Xenopus tropicalis: one gene and its partner. The protein of the gene in region 1 purifies or fractionates together with the protein of each later gene. This does not show direct contact. Links are inferred from orthologs where the notes say so. Each region holds a gene or a part of one and is shown on either strand. Other genes may lie near its edges.

Region 1 (10,096 bases):
TTTCTTTTTCTTTTATCTCTTACAGTCACACCACGTTACGCATATTTCATTCATTTAAACATTAGTAGTGCTTTTGAAGCAAAGACATTTTTACAAAAAAAGTTCATATTTATCAGAGATAAAAAAAAATATGTCTAACAGAATACAGGTGCATTACGTATAATTATATTTTTTACATATATTGAGAATTTCAGCTCGAGCAATCACGCTGGGTTTCGGGGAAAAATAACTCATTAATTGAGCCATTTTTCCCTAAGTGGGCTTTTTTAATAAGAATAAGTTTGGCAGCTGTTAGGCTTTAATAAATATATCATGCAAGGAATTTGTTTTATTTGAATTCAGAAGTAAAAAAACAACCAGACTGCAGCCTTGTACCTTTATAGTCACTCAGTGACTTCTAATATCCTTATAATTTACAATTGGGGGTATATTATCCCTTATAATATATGAGTGATACTCAGCGTTCCCTGTATAACTCAGCCTGCAGCCTTGTGCCTTTATATGGTCACAGAACCCCTCAGTGTCTGCTAATATCCTTATCATTTACAGTAGGGGGTACATTATCCCTTATAATACATGAGTGATACTCAGAGTTCCCTGTATAACTCAGCCTGCAGCCTTGTGCCTTTATATGGGCACAGAACCCCTCAGTGACTGCTAATATCCTTATCATTTACAGTAGGGGGTACATTATCCCTTATAATACATGAGTGATACTCAGAGTTCCCTGTATAACTCAGCCTGCAGCCTTGTGCCTTTATATGGGCACAGAACCCCTCAGTGACTGCTAATATCCTTATCATTTACAGTAGGGGGTACATTATCCCTTATAATACATGAGTGATACTCAGAGTTCCCTGTATAACTCAGCCTGCAGCCTTGTAAATTCTGTTCACGCAATATTACAGCACCGGGCAGTTGCTTTTTAGCCTTTTTAGCTTTTTTTCACAAATCTAAGGCAAATAGAGGTGTCACACAGTCAGGATGAAGAATCACAAGCCTTTAATAATTCCTGTGGTAATATACACGATTTTATCAAAACACTGTAAGGTGTGAAAATGAAGTGTAAAAAAGTTTTTGCCACACACAGACATTACAATGAATACACATCCCTTATTTAGTATGATTGTGTGAATTTCCGCAATCATTTCTTTACATGGAGACGTCGATATGATTTACCAGTATGTGTGAATATCTATGTTTGTTCCACTCAGTGTTACACACTGGGTATATTTGTGATAGAATTTTAAGCCCTGACAAGATATGAATGTGCTTATCTCCTTGCTCTACACCTCTCATTGTATGAGTGGGAGAAGTTTCCCTTTGCGCTGCTCTTTCACTTACTTCCTAGTGTCTGACAACAGATTTAGGCATCCATTAACGAGTTCAAAATTAAAAGTTCAAAATTCACATTTTTTGTGAAAACAAGATAAAAGAACACAATATAAAAATATAGTGCAGCATTCTTAGAAGCTGATGCACCTGTGCCACACACTTACACACTGTGTCAAAAACACGGATCTTAAAACCAAGTTTAAGAACCCAAATTTAGTGAAATAACATCCTTTTAAGTGCCACACATTAATCAAATCAGTGTATTTAGTGATTAGTAATTGAATTAAATAATGCCAGAGAATTCTCTAGTTGTATGTTTTTGACATGCACAATGGGGGGATTGATTATTTTATTCCTCTCCCCAAAACCATCAGGGACCATTTTTTTTTAATACAAAGAAGGGCTGTAACAATACTCTCAATCAATATATCATTAGTTACGTTTTCCAAACTGGTGCCAATCAGTGGGTAAACAATTACTGCCTGTTACCCCTGTTATGGGCCAAACTGGGCTGATCCAATCTTTTGGCCCTCAGGGGCCAATGGAACCTGCCAGGGGAGGGATGCATAAATTGCAATTTTCAAACCTGCCTGATACAAATCTGTCAGAGCATTACAAGTTTTACACTGTGAAAATCCAAATGATCAGCCATGATCAAAATACCCCCTCCCTGTTACCATTTATTGGAATAGATAATGGGATATCTATGGTATACACATTTCCCTGTTGTTCAAACATATGTATTAATAATTGGTAACTGCCTACTGGCATAATTGTCTGCTGTACAAATACAAAATAGCAGGGATGGAACAGTTATCAGGGATAGGTGCTTTTATATCTGGTTCTGCTTGAAAAGACCATAGTGGTCCATAAGCCTTACAGCAGGGCCACCCAACAGGGGAGCTTTCATTCGCCCACACTGTGAATGGCTGCACTTGAATTTCACTGTTTCTTTATTCAGTGATATACAAGCTTTTCGAATGTCTTAGCAGTATAGACAAGGCTTAGCATGCCAGCTAGAAAACTATGGTTAAATAACCTCAGATTTGTAAAAGTGAACAAGGTGCCCTAATCAATTAAATGAGTAGAGTAGTTAAAGGGTAAAGCTTTCCCAATACCCAGAGGAGAGCAGGAAGAGGGCAGGCACTGAGCAGAATTAAGAAGTGGAGGAGGGACATGAGAACATAAAGTTGGGAAGGAATCCCATTTCTACTAGAAGACCATTAAGTAGGAAAAGGGTTTGGGCCTAGGAGAAAAGGGAAAAGAAAATACTGCATTTTGTCATTGCCACAAAAATAGGTTCATATTCAAAGCTCATTATGAAATTGTAAATATTTCTTAAAATAAAGATGTTCATAACACCTTACTCTAGTCTAGATGGTAAGCGGTAGAGACATTTTCTTCAGTTTGGCAGAGATACTTATTTCCTGTCACTTTCAGGGCTTCTACCTACTGCACGCTGGAACATGAATGGTTACACATTTTTAAAAGATATTTCCTTCTACTGAAGAAACCTGACATATCAGTTAGTTCTATCCAATGCTTACATCTGTCAACCTTGGCAAAGGGTCATCCAATGACACAAATGGACACATTGCCTATCTCTGGGTTTAAATGATGGCTTGACACCAATGAAAAACTTTCATATATGTTACAGAATGACATGGAAGCATACGGCAAAATTTGGATGCCCTGGCTACTGCTTGAAAATGACCCTCAGCTGTTTATGGCTATTAGAGCCTAATCATAGAGTCATATTGCTAACTATAATATAACAAGAGATACCCCCTGTTTCACCAAATCAAAAGGTCCCAGCCACTATAACATCGTCCTTTACTGTAAATAGTTATAATTTCATGTCTTCATACTTACTCCTCTTTTTTACTTTCCTCCCTCCCCCTTTTTTTATTCTCTTTTTCTTTTCATTCTCCTTCTCTTTCCATGTGCTCATTGCCTTACAATAATCTCCTGCCACTCATGCTACCAATCAATAATGACTGTAGTAATGCAGAATATTGTAATGAATAACTTGCTAACAATGTAACGCAACATGGATAATAAAACTAATAAAAATTGTCAGTTTTAAATGATGGCTTGAATGACCACATCTAAAAAGAAGTTGGAGAAAGGTGTGACTTTTCTCAGTTTCAGAATTGCATATGATGGACAGGTTGACCTCAAACCTGGGGTACCTAGGAGATCTGGGTTTAGGTGTATATTTGGGCTACGGGCACCCTAAACAAGTCTTTGACCTCAAAAAGGGTCTTGAACTGGTTAAGTCTGTAAACCACAATCCTAGACCTATGAAGTGGACAAAAAGTTCCTATTGAAGGGGATTGTGGAATTGGTTTATATATCTATTACATGAACAAATATGTTTGACATCCAAAGTTTTGATTAGTTAGACATTGTGCTAATGAACATTCTTCCTCTGAAGGTCATTTCAGCATAAGTTTTGTTTTTTTAATTAAATTTTGTTGGGTTTTTTTTTCCATTGAAACAAGATAAAATGCCTGGACTTTGCATGCACATAAAGATTTGTGAAAGCAATGAAGTATAAATAGGTACATTTTCAAAAGAAAATCTGTATATTTAATTGTACTGTGGACTGAAGGTAAGAATACATGATAATCATGTATTCTTACTTCAGTCCACAGTACGAAGAAATAAAGAAAATTGTCGATAAAAATTGTACCATTTTAAAAACTGATTCCACCTTAAGACAAATTTTGGATAATGGTTAAAAATACGTGAGGGCTTGGCCAACAAGAGAGTGTGAAAAACAATGGAATATTGATTGGTCCTGGTTATTATTGTATTGGCTAGTAAAAAAAATGTGTTGACGCTAATGTTATCAGTGGGCCTTACCAGTTCCTTCATATATACATTTCTCATAATGTACAGTACCCGCTACACTCAGTATCTTTCTTTACATTCACTTAACTACTGTTCCCTCCTTTTCAGAAAATACGTGCTCTCCGTGGCTCCATTGACTTGGCTCGGATTAAATGTGTCGAGATTGTTACCACTGATCTCAGCATTGCTTGCAGGAACAAATACCCATTTCAGGTAAGGCAAATAAGATATATACATACATTCTAATTATGTGCGGGCTAATCCGAAAAACACATCTGACCTGCGGGTTTACTGGCGGCTGACAATTAGGCCACCACATCCAAGTCCTGTGCGGGTTGTACTTGCCCTGCTGCAGCTGGGCTCCCTCATCATCAATGGGGTGGTGGAATTTTTTTCCCAACCTCGGGCAGGGTCAGGCCTAGGTTGAGAACAGGCAGGTAAGTGTGTGTCCAGGTTGGAAATTTTCCACTAATTTTAGCACTAATACATACATTTATTTGGTGATTAAAAAGGACAATGATCCAAATTAAATTCATTGAGAAAACTCATTGAACTGTATTGGAAATCTGGAACTGAGTTGGGAGACAGATGGCCTTTAGCCAAATAAGCATGACAAGTGCCCTGTCTCATGCACCATAACATTATAATGGTATTAACCGGCAGGAACCTATCCACATTGGGTATTCTTAGACCCTTATTTCTCTTTTCAGGTTATCCATGATTATTTTCTGTACGTCTTTGCTCCTGACAGAGAGAGTCGTCAAAAGTGGGTGCTGGCACTGAAAGAAGGTAACACGACTTTGGTATTTCCTATTGAGTCCTATTCAGCCAAGCTGTTTGTTTTCTGTGTGTGATAATAAAACTGATCCTTCTACTGCAGTGATTCCCAACCAGTGGCTCGGGGGCAACATGCTGCTCACCAACCCAGTGGATGTTGCTCTCAGTGCCCCCAAACCAGATTTTTTTTTTAATTCCTGACTTGGTGGCAAGTTTTGGTTGAATAAAAACAAGATTTAGTACCAAATAAAGCCCCCTGTAAGCTGATAGGGTGCATAGAGGCTACCTAATAGCTATTCTTAGCCCCTATTTTGCACCTCCATGAAGTTTTATGATGCTTGTGCTGCTCTCCAAGTCTTTTTACATTTGACTGTGGCTCACAAGTAAGAAAGGTTGGGGGTCCCTGTTCTACTGGATGGGAACTAAGCTGCATTAATCTAAATGGATGATGACAAAACAATTCTAATGGGCTTTTTAAATATTTAGTATTTAAAGTGGACCCGTCACCCAGACATAAAAAACTGTATAATAAAAGCCCTTTTCAAATTAAACATGTAACCAAAAGTCATTTTTTTATTAACACATCTATACCCATTATATAAGCATTTAAAAGTCCCAGCTGTCAATCATATATTGCCTGACCCTCCTCTATGCCTTAGGCATAGGGGTGGGGCAGACAGTTACTTTCACTTTCAATTCAGAACTTCGTAGATGTCACTGCACTCCTCACATTCCCCTTCCCTCCTCACCATCTAATTGTGTAACCAGTGCATGGACTTGGGCATCAGGTACCCCCATAGTGGCACAGGAAGAATGCACAGCTTGCCTTAATAACAGTGTCCACAAAATGGAGCCTGCCTGTTTTCTGCAATGGTGAATTCCAGTGCTGAAGGAAATAAGTTTAAAAAAAATTGATATAGTGTAACTAAAGTTTATTTTGCTTGACAAACACAATAGAAAACAATTTGTAATTATTTCTTAGGGTGACATGTCCCCTTTAAGAAATGATGATGCAAATTATAAAAGAAAACCCTGTGTCTGCAAACCCCTAGGTCCCTAGCTTCTAGATAACAAATTTGCAGATAAAGAGATACACTCTTAAGGCAGTGGTACACGGGGAGATTAGTCGCCCGAGACAAATCTTTGTTGTCGCGGGCAACTAATCTCCCCGCAATGCCATACTTTGTCACCTCTAAACACCAGCCATAGGCAATGACTTGTGTGACTAAAGCTGGCAACACACTGATCTACCAGGTAATCAGAGTGTCCTGAACTGTGGGGCTGGCCACCCTTGGGAGATTCTGGTAGATCAAAGCATGTGTCTACAAGTAACTGGGTGTTCCTAGTGGATCAGAGTGTGGGCTTAAGTGTTCTTATTTTTAAATGTTTGGGGGCCATAAATGTCTCTCAGTGTCCACTTTCTCTCTGCAGAGACCAAAGACAATGACTTTCTTGTGGCTAAATATCACTCCAACTTCTGGTTGGAAGGGAGATGGAGATGTTGCTTCCAGACAGAGAAAATGGCCACCGGCTGTGCCTTGTACGACAGGAGCAAAGATGGTGAGTGATGTCCTTCCCTCTGTCTTGTTATGCTGTGTGTCTTGCCTGTTATAGCATGCATTGTTATTATTGGCAAACGATGCACACTTGTGGTTACCTTCAATGTTAAGTCTTCCAATAAGTGAGCTCTTTTACACGGCAGTCCGGAGTCTGTGGTACAAAATTCTAATCACTGGTGGTTGCTTAATATAAGGGAACCCATGTGATTATCCCATTAAGGGGTGTATAGTGGGATGGTAAAATACATGTTTTTAAACTATATATTTCCTTTAATTGTGCCCCAGGGAGACTCTCTCTGTGAACCATCCTCCGTGTTTCATGTTTCTCCCAATCCCACTGGTCATATCACCATGACCCATTAGAATATACGTTGACTACGGCTTTTGTATATATACTGTACAATGTCTGGTCTCTATACAGGAACGTCAGAATCAGTTTATCTCTTTTTATAAGCACTGATGTAATGACTCCATATGTCCTCTTTTATCTGATTGTGGTGAGGAATATTTACAGCAGTTGATCCTATCAGAGCTCTATAACAGGCTGCACATCCTGTCCATCAAAGTGTATCATGTACAGTACATTATATCTGAGCAATGCCCCTGCACCAGTTCTACCTTGGCATTCACATTTAGTGCAGAGTACAGTGAGCTTATGTAAGACATATAAGGCTCTGAATGAAACTTGCCCCTGCAGAATGGCATGCTGGTAAGGGTACAGGAAACCCATGTGCCATCTTTTATATTACAGGCGCAAGCTGCATTGTAAGTGGATGATATTTACAGTAGGCAAAAATATGGCGCTTTGCACCACATTTTTTTGTACTTTGCACATTGCCCCATATTTGTATATGAGTGCCCAATGTCTCCTAAGCTACTGAACAAGCTTCTGGGACAACTGGAACTTTTAAACCAAATGAGAGATTAGTTTATATGGATTGCTGGAAGGGGGCACAATGTTTGCATCTTATTACATAAGCCTGTCGGCAAAATGTCCAGGCCTTTTTGGCATGGAAGTAGGACTAGGTTATATCAGGTTGGCAAGAATGTATCATACCTGTGGTGTTGAAATACAATATTTTAAATTATAAGGGCCAAAATATACCTACTACATTACTCCACTAAAGGGTTTGTTGATCTTTAGATTACCTTTTAGTATGACATAGATATTGATAGACATTTTGCAACTAGTTTTCGTTTTTTAATTTTTGTGGTTTTTATTTTCAGTTATTTAGTTAGTTTATTTAGTTAAGCAGCTCTCCGCATTGGAACTTCAGGTCTTGTTTATCTTAGCAACTAGTCAGTGAGAGACTTGAATATGAAAATGAGAATGAATAAAATAATAAAAAGATAATAAATAAAAAGTAACAATAATAATAAAGTTTGTAACTTTACAGTGCAATAGTTTTTTGGATTCTGGGGTTAGTGACCCTAATTTGAAAGCTGGAAAATAATTTAGAAACTATAAAAAATAGATAATGAAGACCGAATTGCTAAGTTGCTATGAACAGGGCATTCTATAGCATACTAAGAGCAACTTAAAGGTGAACCACCCCTTTAATGGTTTATTGTTTTCTCTGGAAAACATGATTAGTCTGTATATTAGAGGGGGTTATAGACAGATAGGGGGTGTCCTTTTCTCCCATAAAACTTTCATTTGAAGTAGCGTAGATGGTTTTCACGGTGAGGGCAGTGAGGTTGGGGAATGCCCTTCCTAGTGATGCTGTAATGGCAGATTCTGTTAATGCCTATAAGAGGGACCTGGATGAGTTCTTGAACAAGCATTGTATCCAAGGCTATTGGTATATATGATCTATGTATGGGAGTGTATAGATAGGTCAGTTATGTGAGTGGATAGATGGGTCAGTATGGGTCTGTATGTGAGTGGATAGATGGGTCAGTATGGGTCTGTATGTGAGTGTATAGATAGGTCAGTATGGGTCTGTATGTGAGTGTAAAGATAGGTCAGTATGGGTCTGTATGTGAGTGGATAGATAGGTCAGTGTGGGTCTGTATGTGAGTGGATAGATAGGTCAGTGTGGGTCTGTATGTGAGTGGATAGATGGGTCAGTGTGGGTCTGTATGTGAGTGGATAGATAGGTCAGTATGGGTCTGTATGGGAGGGGATAGATAGGTCAGTATGGGTCTGTATGGGAGGGGATAGATAGGTCAGTATGGGTCTGTATGTGAGTGGATAGATGGGTCAGTGTGGGTCTGTATGTGAGTGGGTCAGTGTGGGTCTGTATGTGAGTGGATAGATGGGTCAGTGTGGGTCTGTATGTGAGTGGATAGATAGGTCAGTATGGGTCTGTATGTGAGTGTATAGATGGGTCAGTGTGGGTCTGTATGTGAGTGGATAGATAGGTCAGTATGGGTCTGTATGTGAGTGGATAGATAGGTCAGTGTGGGTCTGTATGTGAGTGGATAGATAGGTCAGTATGGGTCTGTATGTGAGTGGATAGATGGGTCAGTGTGGGTCTGTATGTGAGTGGATAGATGGGTCAGTGTGGGTCTGTATGTGAGTGGATAGATAGGTCAGTGTGGGTCTGTATGTGAGTGGATAGATGGGTCAGTATGGGTCTGTATGTGAGTGGATAGATAGGTCAGTGTGGGTCTGTATGTGAGTGTATAGATAGGTCAGTATGGGTCTGTATGTGAGTGGATAGATAGGTCAGTATGGCTCTGTATGTGAGTGGATAGATAGGTCAGTATGGGTCTGTATGTGAGTGGATAGATAGGTCAGTGTGGGTCTGTATGTGAGTGGATAGATAGGTCAGTGTGGGTCTGTATGTGAGTGGATAGATAGGTCAGTATGGGTCTGTATGTGAGTGTACAGATAGGTAAGTATAGGTTTGTATGTGCTGGGTTTGCTTGGAAGGGTTGAACTTGATGGACATTGGTCTTTTTTTAACCCAGCGTAACTATGTAACTTTGTAAAAAGAAAGTTACTAGACTCGACAGCAAAAACTGATATCCTGGGGGTTGTTTTTGCAACACACAAGTGTTCCCTATAGTAAGTCAGTTTATACACCTAGCTTCTAGTTGTGTTTGTCCCCCATTCTCACCACATTCCTAAACCACAGATACCATCTATTTTTCTTCCTCTCTCTCACTTCCCACTACTTTGTATAGTTACCTTCAGCATCAACACCTATGAGTGCTTTTGCTTTGTGATGGTCTGCTTTCCTATTCTATCTGATGGTAAAATTAAGGTTGATGTTACAAGTGTAGACCATTTAGGAACTTGCTACTATACCAAAAGGAGGCTCCCAACCTATCTTAGGTTAAAACAGCTTTTTTATGTATATAAAGGAACTTGTTGGCTACCAGTTACAATTTTAAACAATTTATAAATATGGAAACAAGCTCACCAGATGAAATAGAGGGCTCAGGTGCCCAAGCCCTTCACTAGAAATGTTTACTCCGTTCAATGCCCCAGACCCACAGCACAGGGAGAAACACAGAATCAAAGTACCATGTGGCACGCACTCAATGGGACACCAAGGCAGCGGTGATGGTTAAACAGCTCTATTCATAAATACATCCTCATTTAGGAACATTCATAAGTA
Region 2 (10,745 bases), on another chromosome or scaffold:
CCTTAGATTGTAAGCTACTGGGGCAGGACTATGGGAATGGGATAGGGAACTTAGATTGTAAGCTCACTGGGCAGGGACTGATGGGAATGGGATAGGGCCCTTAGATTGTAAGCTCACTGGGGCATGGAATGAATGGAATGGGATAGGGAACCTTCAGATTGTAAGCTACTGGGGCGGGGCTGATGGGAATGGGATAGGGACCTTAAGATTGTAGCTCCATGGCGGCAGGGACTGATGGGAATAGCATCACCTCAACATTTGAAAATGAAAAGAGGGACAAAAAGATTGGTGGTGCGCATCGCGGCAATTTTTTGACCACGCCCACTTTTGTGGCCGCCGCAATTACGATACACACACATCCATTTTTTTTCCCAAAAATTCTCCTTTTATAATAGCTGAAATGCGGGATCAGATGCCAATGTGCTATTCCCTCATACTGGTACTAACTAAGGGGAAACATATAGCAACTCCTCATATAAATACAAATATAGAGGACAGGCAGTGAGTTATTAGTGAGTTATAACTATTCTACCGTTTTCCCCCATAACACAGTGCCCAATGCTAAAGACAGTACTATATATACAGTGCCCCATTGAGACAGTGCCGCCGATACACAGTGGCCTCCAATTGAGACATCCCCCATAACAGTGCCCCAATTGAGACAGTCCCGCCATACACAGTGCCCCCCAATTGAGAGTCCCCCCTCACGTGCCCAATTGAGACAGTCCCCCCATACACATTGAGCACAGTCCCACCCCATAACAGTGCCCAATTTGAGACGTCCCCCATAGCACAGTGCCCCAATTGAGACATCCCCCATACACGTATTGAGACAGTCCCCCCATACCAGTCCCCAATTGAGACGTCCCCCATACACAGTCCCAATTGGACCGTCCCCCCATACACAGTGCCCCAATTGAGACAGTCCCACCCCATACACAGTGCCCCCAATTGAGACAGTCCCACCCCATACACAGTGCCCCCAATTGAGACAGTCCCCCCCATACACAGTGCCCCCAATTGAGACAGTGCCCCATACACAGTGCCATTAGAAGCACATACAAGTGCCCCCAATTGAGACAGTGCCCCCATACACAGTGCCCCCAATTGAGACAGTCCCACCCCATACACAGTGCCCCCAATTGAGACAGTGCCCCCATACACAGTGCCCCAATTGAGACAGTTCCCACCCCATACACAGTGCCCCCAATTGAGACAGTCCCACCCCATACACAGTGCCCCCAATTGAGACAGTGCCCCCAATTGAGACAGTCCCACCCCATACACAGTGCCCCCAATTGAGACAGTCCCACCCCATACACAGTGCCCCCAATACAGACAGCGCTCCCTTCTTCTTCGTCCGCAGCGGCTCCTCAGTGTATGCGGCTCCTTCTCCGGCGGTCCCTGGCCCTTTTATAAGGTTGCGCCCGTGCGTAATGACGTCACCCGTGCGTAAGGGCGCAACCTTATAAAAGGACCTGGGACCGCCGGAGAAGGAGCCGCATACACTGAGGAGCCGCTGGGGAGGAAGGAGCGCCGACGCATCCCGCTGTCCCGGGTAAGTCAATGAATGTTCCGCATTTCCGTAATTTATTACGGAAATGCGGGACATTCATGGAACTATCCGGGACAGCGGGATGCGCTCTAAAATCTGGGACTGTCCCGCGGAAAGCGGGACAGTTGGGAGGTATGGGAATGGGATAGGGACCTTAGATTGTAAGCTCACTGGGGCAGGGACTGATGGGAATGGGATAGGGACCTTAGATTGTAAGCTCACTGGGGCAGGGACTGATGGGAATGTGATAGGGACCTTAGATTGTAAGCTCACTGGGGCAGGGACTGATGGGAATGGGATAGGGACCTTAGATTGTAAGCTCACTGGGGCAGGGGCTGATGGGAATGTGATAGGGACCTTAGATTGTAAGCTCACTGGGGCAGGGGCTGATGGGAATGTTATAGGGACCTTAGATTGTAAGCTCACTGGGGCAGGGACTGATGGGAATGTTATAGGGACCTTAGATTGTAAGCTCACTGGGGCAGGGACTGATGGGAATGGGATAGGGACCTTAGAGTGTAAGCTCACTGGGGCAGGGGCTGATGGGAATGTGATAGGGACCTTAGATTGTAAGCTCACTGGGGCAGGGGCTGATGGGAATGGGATAGGGACCTTAGATTGTAAGCTCACTGGGGCAGGGACTGATGGGAATGGGATAGGGGCCTTAGATTGTAAGCTCACTGGGGCAGGGACTGATGGGAATGTGATAGGGACCTTAGATTGTAAGCTCACTGGGGCAGGGGCTGATGGGAATGGGATAGGGATCTTAGATTGTAAGCTCACTGGGGCAGGGACTGATGGGAATGGGATAGGGACCTTAGATTGTAAACTCACTGGGGCAGGGACTGATGGGAATGTGATAGGGACCTTAGATTGTAAGCTCACTGGGGCAGGGACTGATGGGAATGGGATAGGGACCTTAGATTGTAAGCTCACGGGGCAGGGGCTGATGGGAATGGGATAGGGACCTTAGATTGTAAGCTCACTGGGGCAAGGGACTGATGGGATGGATAGGGGCCCTTAGATTGTAAGTCACTGGGGCAGGGGCTGATGGGATGTGATAGGGACTTAGATTGTAAGCTCACTGGGGCAGGGGTGATGGGAATGTGATAGGGACCTTAGATTGTAGCTCACTGGGGCAGGGGCTGATGGGAATGTGATAGGGACCTTAGATTGTAAGCTCACTGGGGCAGGGCTGATGGGAATGGATAGGGACCTTAGATTGTAAGCTCACTGGGGCAGGGCTGATGGGAATGTGATAGGGACCTTAGATTGTAAGCTCACTGGGCAGGGACTGATGGAATGGGATAGGGACCTTTAGATTGTAAGCTCACTGGGCAGGGGCTGATGGGAAGGGACTTAGAGGTGTAAGCTCCTGGGGCAGGGGCTGATGGGAATGGGATGGGACTTAGATTGTAAGCTCACTGGGCAGGGGCTGATAGGGAATGTGATAGGGACCTTAGATTGTAAGCTCACTGGGGGCAGGGGCTGATGGGAATGGGAATAGGGACCATTAGATTGTAAGCTCACTGGGCAGGGGCTGATGGGAATGTGATAGGGGACCTTAGATTGTAGCTCACTGGGGCAGGGGCTGATGGGAATGGGATAGGGACCTTAGATTGTAAGCTCACTGGGGCAGGGGCTGATGGGAATGGGGATAGGACCTTAGATTGTAAGCTCACTGGGCAGGGACTGATGGAATGGATAGGGGCCTTAGATTGTAAGCTCACTGGGGCAGGGGCTGATGGGAATGGATAGGGACCTTAGATTGTTTAGCTCACTGGGGCAGGGGCTGATGGGAATGGGATAGGGACCTTAGATTGTAAGCTCACTGGGGCAGGGACTGATGGAATCGGGATAGGGCCTTAGATTGTAAGCTCACTGGGGCAGGGACTGATGGGAATGGGATAGGGACATTAGAGTGTAAGCTCACTGGGGCAGGGGCTGATGGGAATGGGATAGGGACATTAGAGTGTAAGCTCACTGGGGCAGGGGCTGATGGGACAGAATACCAGGGCTACAGAAATAAAACAACCAAATAAACCCTTTATCTTCCCATGTGACTCAGCAGCCATTTGTCCCTGCAGTTAGTGACGTAACAGGAGCCTTGCCCCTCCCACTAGCCTGGCCCCTCCCACAAACAACAGAGGGCGAGCGGAATGACAAAGCAGCAGATGGCGGCAGCGGGGCTGAAGGGTTCATTTGCCTCACAGACAAGGAAGAAGGGGCGGGGCAGGGGAGAGGCAGGGGAGGGACAAAAGGCGGAGTCACTAGAGAAACTACTAGAAAATTACACTACCTCCTCCGCTTGGTATCCTCCCGCCAAGGAAAAAAAATAGTCCCAGCAGCATTTGCTATAAGGAGGGAACCTCCCGGGCCGGCCAGAGGGGGCGCTGTGAGTGAGTGCTGAGTAACACAGAGTTGCGCATGCTCAGTTCCCTGAGGAGAGACGCACTCGGTAGTTTGATTATTGCAGCTGGGCTGAAAGGCGAAATCCCAGATCCGTACTGGGAAGCCCTGGTCCCACGGAGCTACTGCCCGCACTCTCTCTCACTGCGGCTCCGCGTACTCAGCCCTAGCTGCAAATAGTGCCGGCACTGGTGCAGGCGGAGGGATCTGGGGCTGCTCTCCGCCCAGTATAAAAGGTGCCCGGCTGCTTGTTTCTTTCCTCTTCATTCACCAATTCCCCAGCAGTGTTCGGCCGCGGAGATCCTTAAGCAGCCAAGGTACCCGGGGGGGCATTGTGTGGGGCTGCTGGGGGCATTGTGTGGGGCTGCTGGGGGCATTGTGAGGGGCTGCTGGGGGGGGCATTGTGAGGGGCTGCTGGGGGGGGCATTGTGAGGGGCTGCTGGGGGGATAGTGAGGGGCTGCTGGGGGGCAGCGGGCTGGGTATTGGCACTTGGGAGTCCGAGTGGGGCAATGGCTGGAGAAACTGAGGCAGGAGCCATAGTAGCGGGGAGAGGGGCAGTTAGATGGGGGAGAGGGGCAGTTAGATGGGGGAGAGGGGCAGTTAGATGGGGGAGAGGGGCAGTTAGATGGGGGAGAGGGGACATTATCGTTGAGGCGAATTCGGGGCCCCTGTAATTCTCTACGGGAAAGGTTCATTCTGTGTATTATTCCCGGGGTTTCCCTAACTGTCAGTCCCGGCCCCGCCCCCCGGCCCTGGAACCTTCTAGATCTTTCTACCCCCCCCCGCGGGTGGGGGCGCACATGGTTAGGGAGCCGGTAGCGCCGCCATGTTGGGATGAAGCGCGTCACAGCCGGGGCCGGGCCGTGTATCCATGGTAACGGCTCCCCCTGCGCCCGGTCATGGTCTGTCCCGCTGCTGCTTGCGCCGTATGGGCTGGTCCATGTGTTCCCTCTGCTGGGGGGGGGGGAACGAATAACACTGACAGCTGCCCCACACCCGGGGCTCCTGTTGCCCCCCACACCCGGGGCTCCTGTTGCCCCCCACACCCGGGGCTCCTGTTGCCCCACACCCAGCGGGACAGGTCGCAAATGTCTTTCAGCCCAAAATCGGGGGAGGGGGGATTTAAAAGCTTCTCACAGGGTCTTAAAGGGCCAGTACCCCCAGTTACTCAGTGTGAGCTCAATGAGTAGAGCAAGTTCTGCACAGAGATCTGCCTGTTGCTGTAAGGAGATAATAGGACTTATTTAATATAAATATATTTCTCTAACCAGGGTGGAACTGAAAGTAAAAGTCCCTTACATGGCTGCTGTGAAGCCTCTATATAAACAAACCCCTCCCTTTCCCCAATGGCAGGGTGTGAGTGTTATACAGAGGCTGCTGCTTTGTTTCCATTCTGCTCATAAGAGCAGGAAGTAGAATGTTGCATAGGAGGGGGCAGTTATACGGCCCCTGGTGTTGCACGGGGCAATAGTCCTGCCTAAGACCCAGCTGACTCTCGTTCCCTTACACAGATGCCTGAAGTCGCTCACAATGGAGAGGAGGAGGTGGAGACATTTGCCTTCCAGGCGGAGATTGCGCAGCTCATGTCCCTCATCATCAACACCTTCTACTCCAACAAAGAAATCTTCCTGCGAGAGTTGATCTCCAACGCCTCCGACGTAAGTCTGTCCTTGGCTGCCTATGTGCCAACTGTGCCAGTGCCCAAGCACCCATATGTGGGGGGAGGGGGTATCTGAACTAAAGCAGAGCTGGCCTCTTGGCTCAGCTAGTGATAGAATGGTGTGTGTGCTCTGCAGCCAAGCTGTTATATTAGTAGGTATTGTGGCAGCTTCACTGCCTGTTGCATAGGGGTCTGGGGGGACTGTTATAATGAGGGGGGGGGGGCCCTCTGGGCTAGTAGCCACTCTCTGCCAATCCTCAACCTTCTCCCCATTGTTCGGTGCCGCAGGCCCTGGATAAGATCCGATACGAGAGTCTGACCGATCCCTCCAAGCTGGACAGCGGCAAAGACCTGAAGATCGACATCATTCCCAACCGCCAGGAGCGCACACTGACTGTCATCGACACCGGGATTGGCATGACCAAGGCCGACCTCATCAACAACCTGGGAACCATCGCCAAGTCCGGCACCAAGGCTTTCATGGAGGCCCTGCAGGTCGGTACCAGCGGCCCAATATAAAGCATTGACTATTAAATGCTGGCGCATTAAGTACCGTCCACTAGCCAGTGGTGTCTCCCTGAAGTCCAATTGAGTTGTGGTTCCTTCTCTCTGACAGGCTGGTGCTGACATCTCTATGATTGGTCAGTTCGGTGTGGGTTTCTATTCTGCGTACTTGGTGGCAGAGAAGGTCTTGGTCATCACCAAACACAACGATGATGAACAGTACGCGTGGGAATCCTCCGCCGGCGGCTCTTTCACCGTGAAGACTGACCATGGTGAGTTTGTGTTCAATTGGACCAGAATTCCCCTAAAGGCCTGTAAGTTGGCACCACTAACCCCAAACTGGTATTTCCTGCTAGGTGAGCCCATTGGCCGTGGTACCAAAGTCATCCTCTACCTGAAGGAAGATCAGACAGAGTACCTGGAGGAGAAACGTGTCAAGGAAACCGTGAAGAAACACTCGCAGTTCATTGGCTACCCAATCACCCTCTATGTGAGTATGGCCGGCCAGCTGGGGGCAGGGCCCTGGGTCTGATGTACGATTGGCTCACTATTTGTCTCCCCGACAGCTGGAGAAGGAGAGGGAAAAGGAGATCAGCGACGATGAGGCAGAGGAGGAGAAAGAGGAAGAAAAGAAGGAAGAGGAGGGAGAGAACGACAAACCTAAAATAGAGGACGTGGGCTCCGATGAGGAAGAGGAGGGGAAGGACAAGAAGAAAAAGACAAAGAAGATCAAGGAGAAGTACATCGACCAGGAGGAGCTGAACAAAACCAAGCCCATCTGGACCCGTAACCCAGACGACATCACCCAGGAAGAGTACGGAGAGTTCTACAAGAGCCTGACCAATGACTGGGAGGATCACTTGGCTGTGAAGGTAAGAAGAAAAAAAAACCCCATAATGCACCGCTTGTTCAGCTCTGGGTTCCACACTCTCTCCTGAGCGCTAACACCCCCTGTTCTGCTTCCCCCCAGCACTTCTCTGTGGAGGGGCAACTGGAGTTCCGCGCTCTGCTCTTCATTCCCCGCCGCGCCCCCTTTGATCTGTTTGAGAACAAGAAGAAGAAGAACAACATCAAGCTGTACGTGCGCCGCGTCTTCATCATGGATAGCTGCGACGAGCTGATCCCAGAGTATCTGAGTAAGTACTGGCCCGAAGCTTAGTGGGCCCCCTCCTTCCCCCCCCCCCCATAGGATGGGATGCTGGGTAAAGCCTTCCAATAGTCTGGCATTAGATGCTTCATTAACAGTCTAGCATGTAGATCTTTTGCTTGATGTGGTGACACAGGCAGGCAGGGCCCCACGCACACCCATAGGCACACAGGCAGGCAGGTAAGTGTGTGGGGGGGCAGGGGCAATTAATTGCCTATTGTAGTATTTCAGCCCAAGAATCCTTGTCTCTTACGCACAGGCCTCTTGGTGCACTCGCGTATCTATAAGGGGAAGACACACGGAGCTACTAGTAGCAGCTACAGAAACAGACAATGTTGATCATTTGCTGATAATTGTCTCTACGTGTGTCTAGCAGAAGGAATTCTCAGTATTGTCTATGGCAGGGGATTTGGTAGCTGCTACTAAGCTGCGCACACACACACGTAGGCACACAGGGCCCCACAGATGGATCCTGAATGTAGGACTTTTGGGCAGTCTCTCCCTGTGCCGCCTCTAACTCTTTTCTCTCTTCCAGACTTCATTCGCGGGGTGGTGGATTCTGAGGATCTGCCCTTGAACATTTCCCGTGAGATGCTGCAGCAGAGCAAGATCCTGAAGGTGATCCGCAAGAACATTGTCAAGAAGTGCCTGGAGCTCTTCACCGAGCTGGCCGAGGACAAGGAGAACTACAAGAAGTTTTACGAGGCTTTCTCCAAGAACCTGAAGGTGAGCAGTGCAGGAGGGTGCCCTGGGCTGTAGTGGGCGGAGCTCTTGTTCGTCCCAGTGGCTCTTGCTGACCTACCTCTCCTTGCAGCTCGGCATCCACGAGGATTCTACCAACCGCAAGAAGCTGTCTGAGCTCCTCAGGTACCACACTTCCCAGACAGGCGACGAGATGGCCTCCCTAACAGAGTATGTGTCCCGTATGAAGGAGAACCAGAAAAGCATCTACTACATAACTGGTAAGTGGCCCTTGCAGCAAGATATCCCATTATGGGCTCCCCTGGGAGAGAGGGGTATTCCTCTTCCCCTGGGGTCACTTCTCCGCAGCTCGCTTAGAGGAAGAGTCTGACACGTGACCCCTCTGTTCTGTCTCGCAGGTGAGAGCAAGGACCAGGTGGCCAACTCCGCCTTCGTGGAGCGGGTGAGGAAGCGTGGCTTCGAGGTGGTCTACATGACTGAGCCCATCGACGAGTACTGCGTGCAGCAGCTGAAGGAGTTCGACGGGAAGACGCTGGTGTCTGTGACCAAGGAGGGCCTGGAGCTGCCAGAGGACGAGGAAGAGAAGAAGATGATGGAAGAGAACAAGACCAAATTTGAGAGTTTGTGCAAACTGATGAAGGAAATTCTGGACAAGAAAGTAGAGAAGGTGAGGATGGGGCAGAAGGAAGTAATGTTGCCCCTCCCCTAGTATAGCCTTGTCCTGCTAACCCCCAACCTGCCCCTTGTTACCCCGCAGGTCACCGTGTCCAACAGACTCGTCTCCTCTCCCTGCTGTATCGTCACCAGCACCTACGGCTGGACCGCCAACATGGAGCGCATCATGAAAGCGCAAGCTCTGCGGGACAATTCCACCATGGGCTACATGATGGCTAAGAAGCACTTGGAGATCAACCCCGAGCACCCCATCGTGGAGACCCTGAGGCAGAAAGCGGAAACCGACAAGAACGACAAAGCAGTGAAGGACCTGGTGGTGCTGCTCTTCGAGACCGCGCTGCTGTCATCCGGCTTCTCCCTGGACGACCCCCAGACGCACTCAAACAGGATCTACAGGATGATCAAGCTGGGTCTGGGTAGGTGTCGCTGAGCATTATGGGAATGGCTACCAGAATCCTTCTGCCATAAAGGGGATTTGTATGTAGGGTCCTGAAACCACCACATTTAGGGTTAACTTCCCCTTGTCTCTCTCAGGTATTGATGATGACGATGCAACAGTGGAGGAAACTTCCCCCTCGGTGGCAGACGAGATCCCACCCCTAGAGGGCGACGAAGATGCTTCTCGCATGGAGGAAGTCGACTAATCGGTTTGCTGCCCGCTCGTCCTGCCCCCTCCCACCCGCGTATGTGCACTGTCTGTAACTCGGTAGGGGGGCGACTTCTCCCTTGGACTCTAAATATCACATGATACTGGGGATGGACTTCCCTCCTTATAGAATATATTTGGGGGAGCTTCAAGACTGATGGCTGCTGACTTTAACCCTTTCCTCTGCACCCCCCTTGTTGTGTTCCAGTCTGAGCAGTTAGTTATGTAAGTTATTGTAGCAGTATGGCAGCTAGCTTGGCTTGAGGTAGCCCTGAGTTAGTGGCCCGCTGTTAGCCAGCTGCTGGGGGGGGGGGTCTGTTTGACTCTCTCAATGCACCTTACAGGCCCCCCCTCTAATCCTACCCTCTGCCACTATTGTAATGGGCGTGTCCCTCTGTGCCCCCCCTGAGGCACGGGGGGTACTTACTGGGAAGCTTTAGAGACCCCCCTGCTGCCTTCTCCCATTCACTTGCATGGGGGGGGCGATTGAATGTGCTGGTGTTTGCAAATAGAAACGCCAGGCCAGTCTGGGGGGGTGAGGTACTTCTGCCCAATGCTACCTCAATCTGTAGCACCCCCAAATCTGCTGAGTGGTAGCCCCCATCTCTCTGACTGGAATCTCGTGCCCCCGCCCCCAGGATGTCTTGAATGCTGAGACCCCACCCCCATCCTACACATCTCTCTATCGAGAGCCTCAATACGGAACTTTATTTTATTTTTTGTTGTTGTAAAGTTGAGAAATGTTGCGCAAAATAAAGATCTTTTTACAGTGAAACAGTTTGTCTCCTGTTTATGTGCTGCCGACTGCACCGGATACAATGCTGTGTTACAGGGCTGTTTCCCCAACTATAAACCTTATGTGCAGTAGTTACAGCCTTGGATTTCTATAAGGCTTGGGATACTGGCATGATATTTATGGGACACTTTGTATCTCTAACACTGTTACACAGCAAATAATTCCCTCTGTCATTTATCCTTTTATTCTTCAACCAACAAATGTATTTGTAGCTGTAATATTGGTGTGTAGGCGCCATCTCAGTGCCTTGTGCCCGAGTCTGAGCTTTCAGCCAGCGCTACACATTAGAACTGCTTTCAGCTAACCTATTGTTTCTCCTACTCCCATGTAACTGGAGGAGTCCCAAGCCGGACTTGGATTTCTTACTATTGAGTGCTATTCTGATACCTACTGGGAGCTGCTATCTTGCTCCCTTCCCATTGTTCTGCTGATCGGCTGCTGGGGGGGAGGGGGATATCACTCCAACTTGCAGCGCAGCAGTAAAGTGTGCCTGAAGTTTATCAGAGCACAGCTCCTTGTTACAGCCAGGAGAGGGTGCTGTTCTGAGCATGATTCAGCCTGGCTGCCCCTGCTCATATGAAAATGATAATGCCCCTCCCTGTGCCTTGTTGCCCAAGGCCATTATGTTTGTGCTGCTGGTTTCTTCTTGC

The links.
Region 2: the proteins of itk (region 1) and hsp90ab1 purify together in Homo sapiens (affinity purification with mass spectrometry; 3 studies listed by BioGRID and IntAct, with this or other methods). This does not show direct contact. The link is inferred for Xenopus tropicalis from reciprocal best matches to the Homo sapiens genes ITK and HSP90AB1.

The regions. Positions count from the first base shown.
Region 1 is NC_030679.2:14,165,163-14,175,258, reverse strand, and holds part of itk (tyrosine-protein kinase ITK/TSK), read left to right. Parts: intron 1-4,299; coding exon 4,300-4,404; intron 4,405-4,901; coding exon 4,902-4,980; intron 4,981-6,399; coding exon 6,400-6,528; intron 6,529-10,096. UniProt on the Homo sapiens protein: Tyrosine kinase that plays an essential role in regulation of the adaptive immune response. Regulates the development, function and differentiation of conventional T-cells and nonconventional NKT-cells.
Region 2 is NC_030681.2:2,231,445-2,242,189, reverse strand, and holds hsp90ab1 (heat shock protein HSP 90-beta), read left to right. Parts: upstream 1-4,235; 5' UTR 4,236-4,281; intron 4,282-5,476; coding exon 5,477-5,623; intron 5,624-5,913; coding exon 5,914-6,120; intron 6,121-6,241; coding exon 6,242-6,401; intron 6,402-6,485; coding exon 6,486-6,619; intron 6,620-6,695; coding exon 6,696-7,001; intron 7,002-7,099; coding exon 7,100-7,265; intron 7,266-7,811; coding exon 7,812-8,002; intron 8,003-8,090; coding exon 8,091-8,238; intron 8,239-8,376; coding exon 8,377-8,645; intron 8,646-8,735; coding exon 8,736-9,069; intron 9,070-9,187; coding exon 9,188-9,297; 3' UTR 9,298-10,074; downstream 10,075-10,745. UniProt on the Homo sapiens protein: Molecular chaperone that promotes the maturation, structural maintenance and proper regulation of specific target proteins involved for instance in cell cycle control and signal transduction. Undergoes a functional cycle linked to its ATPase activity.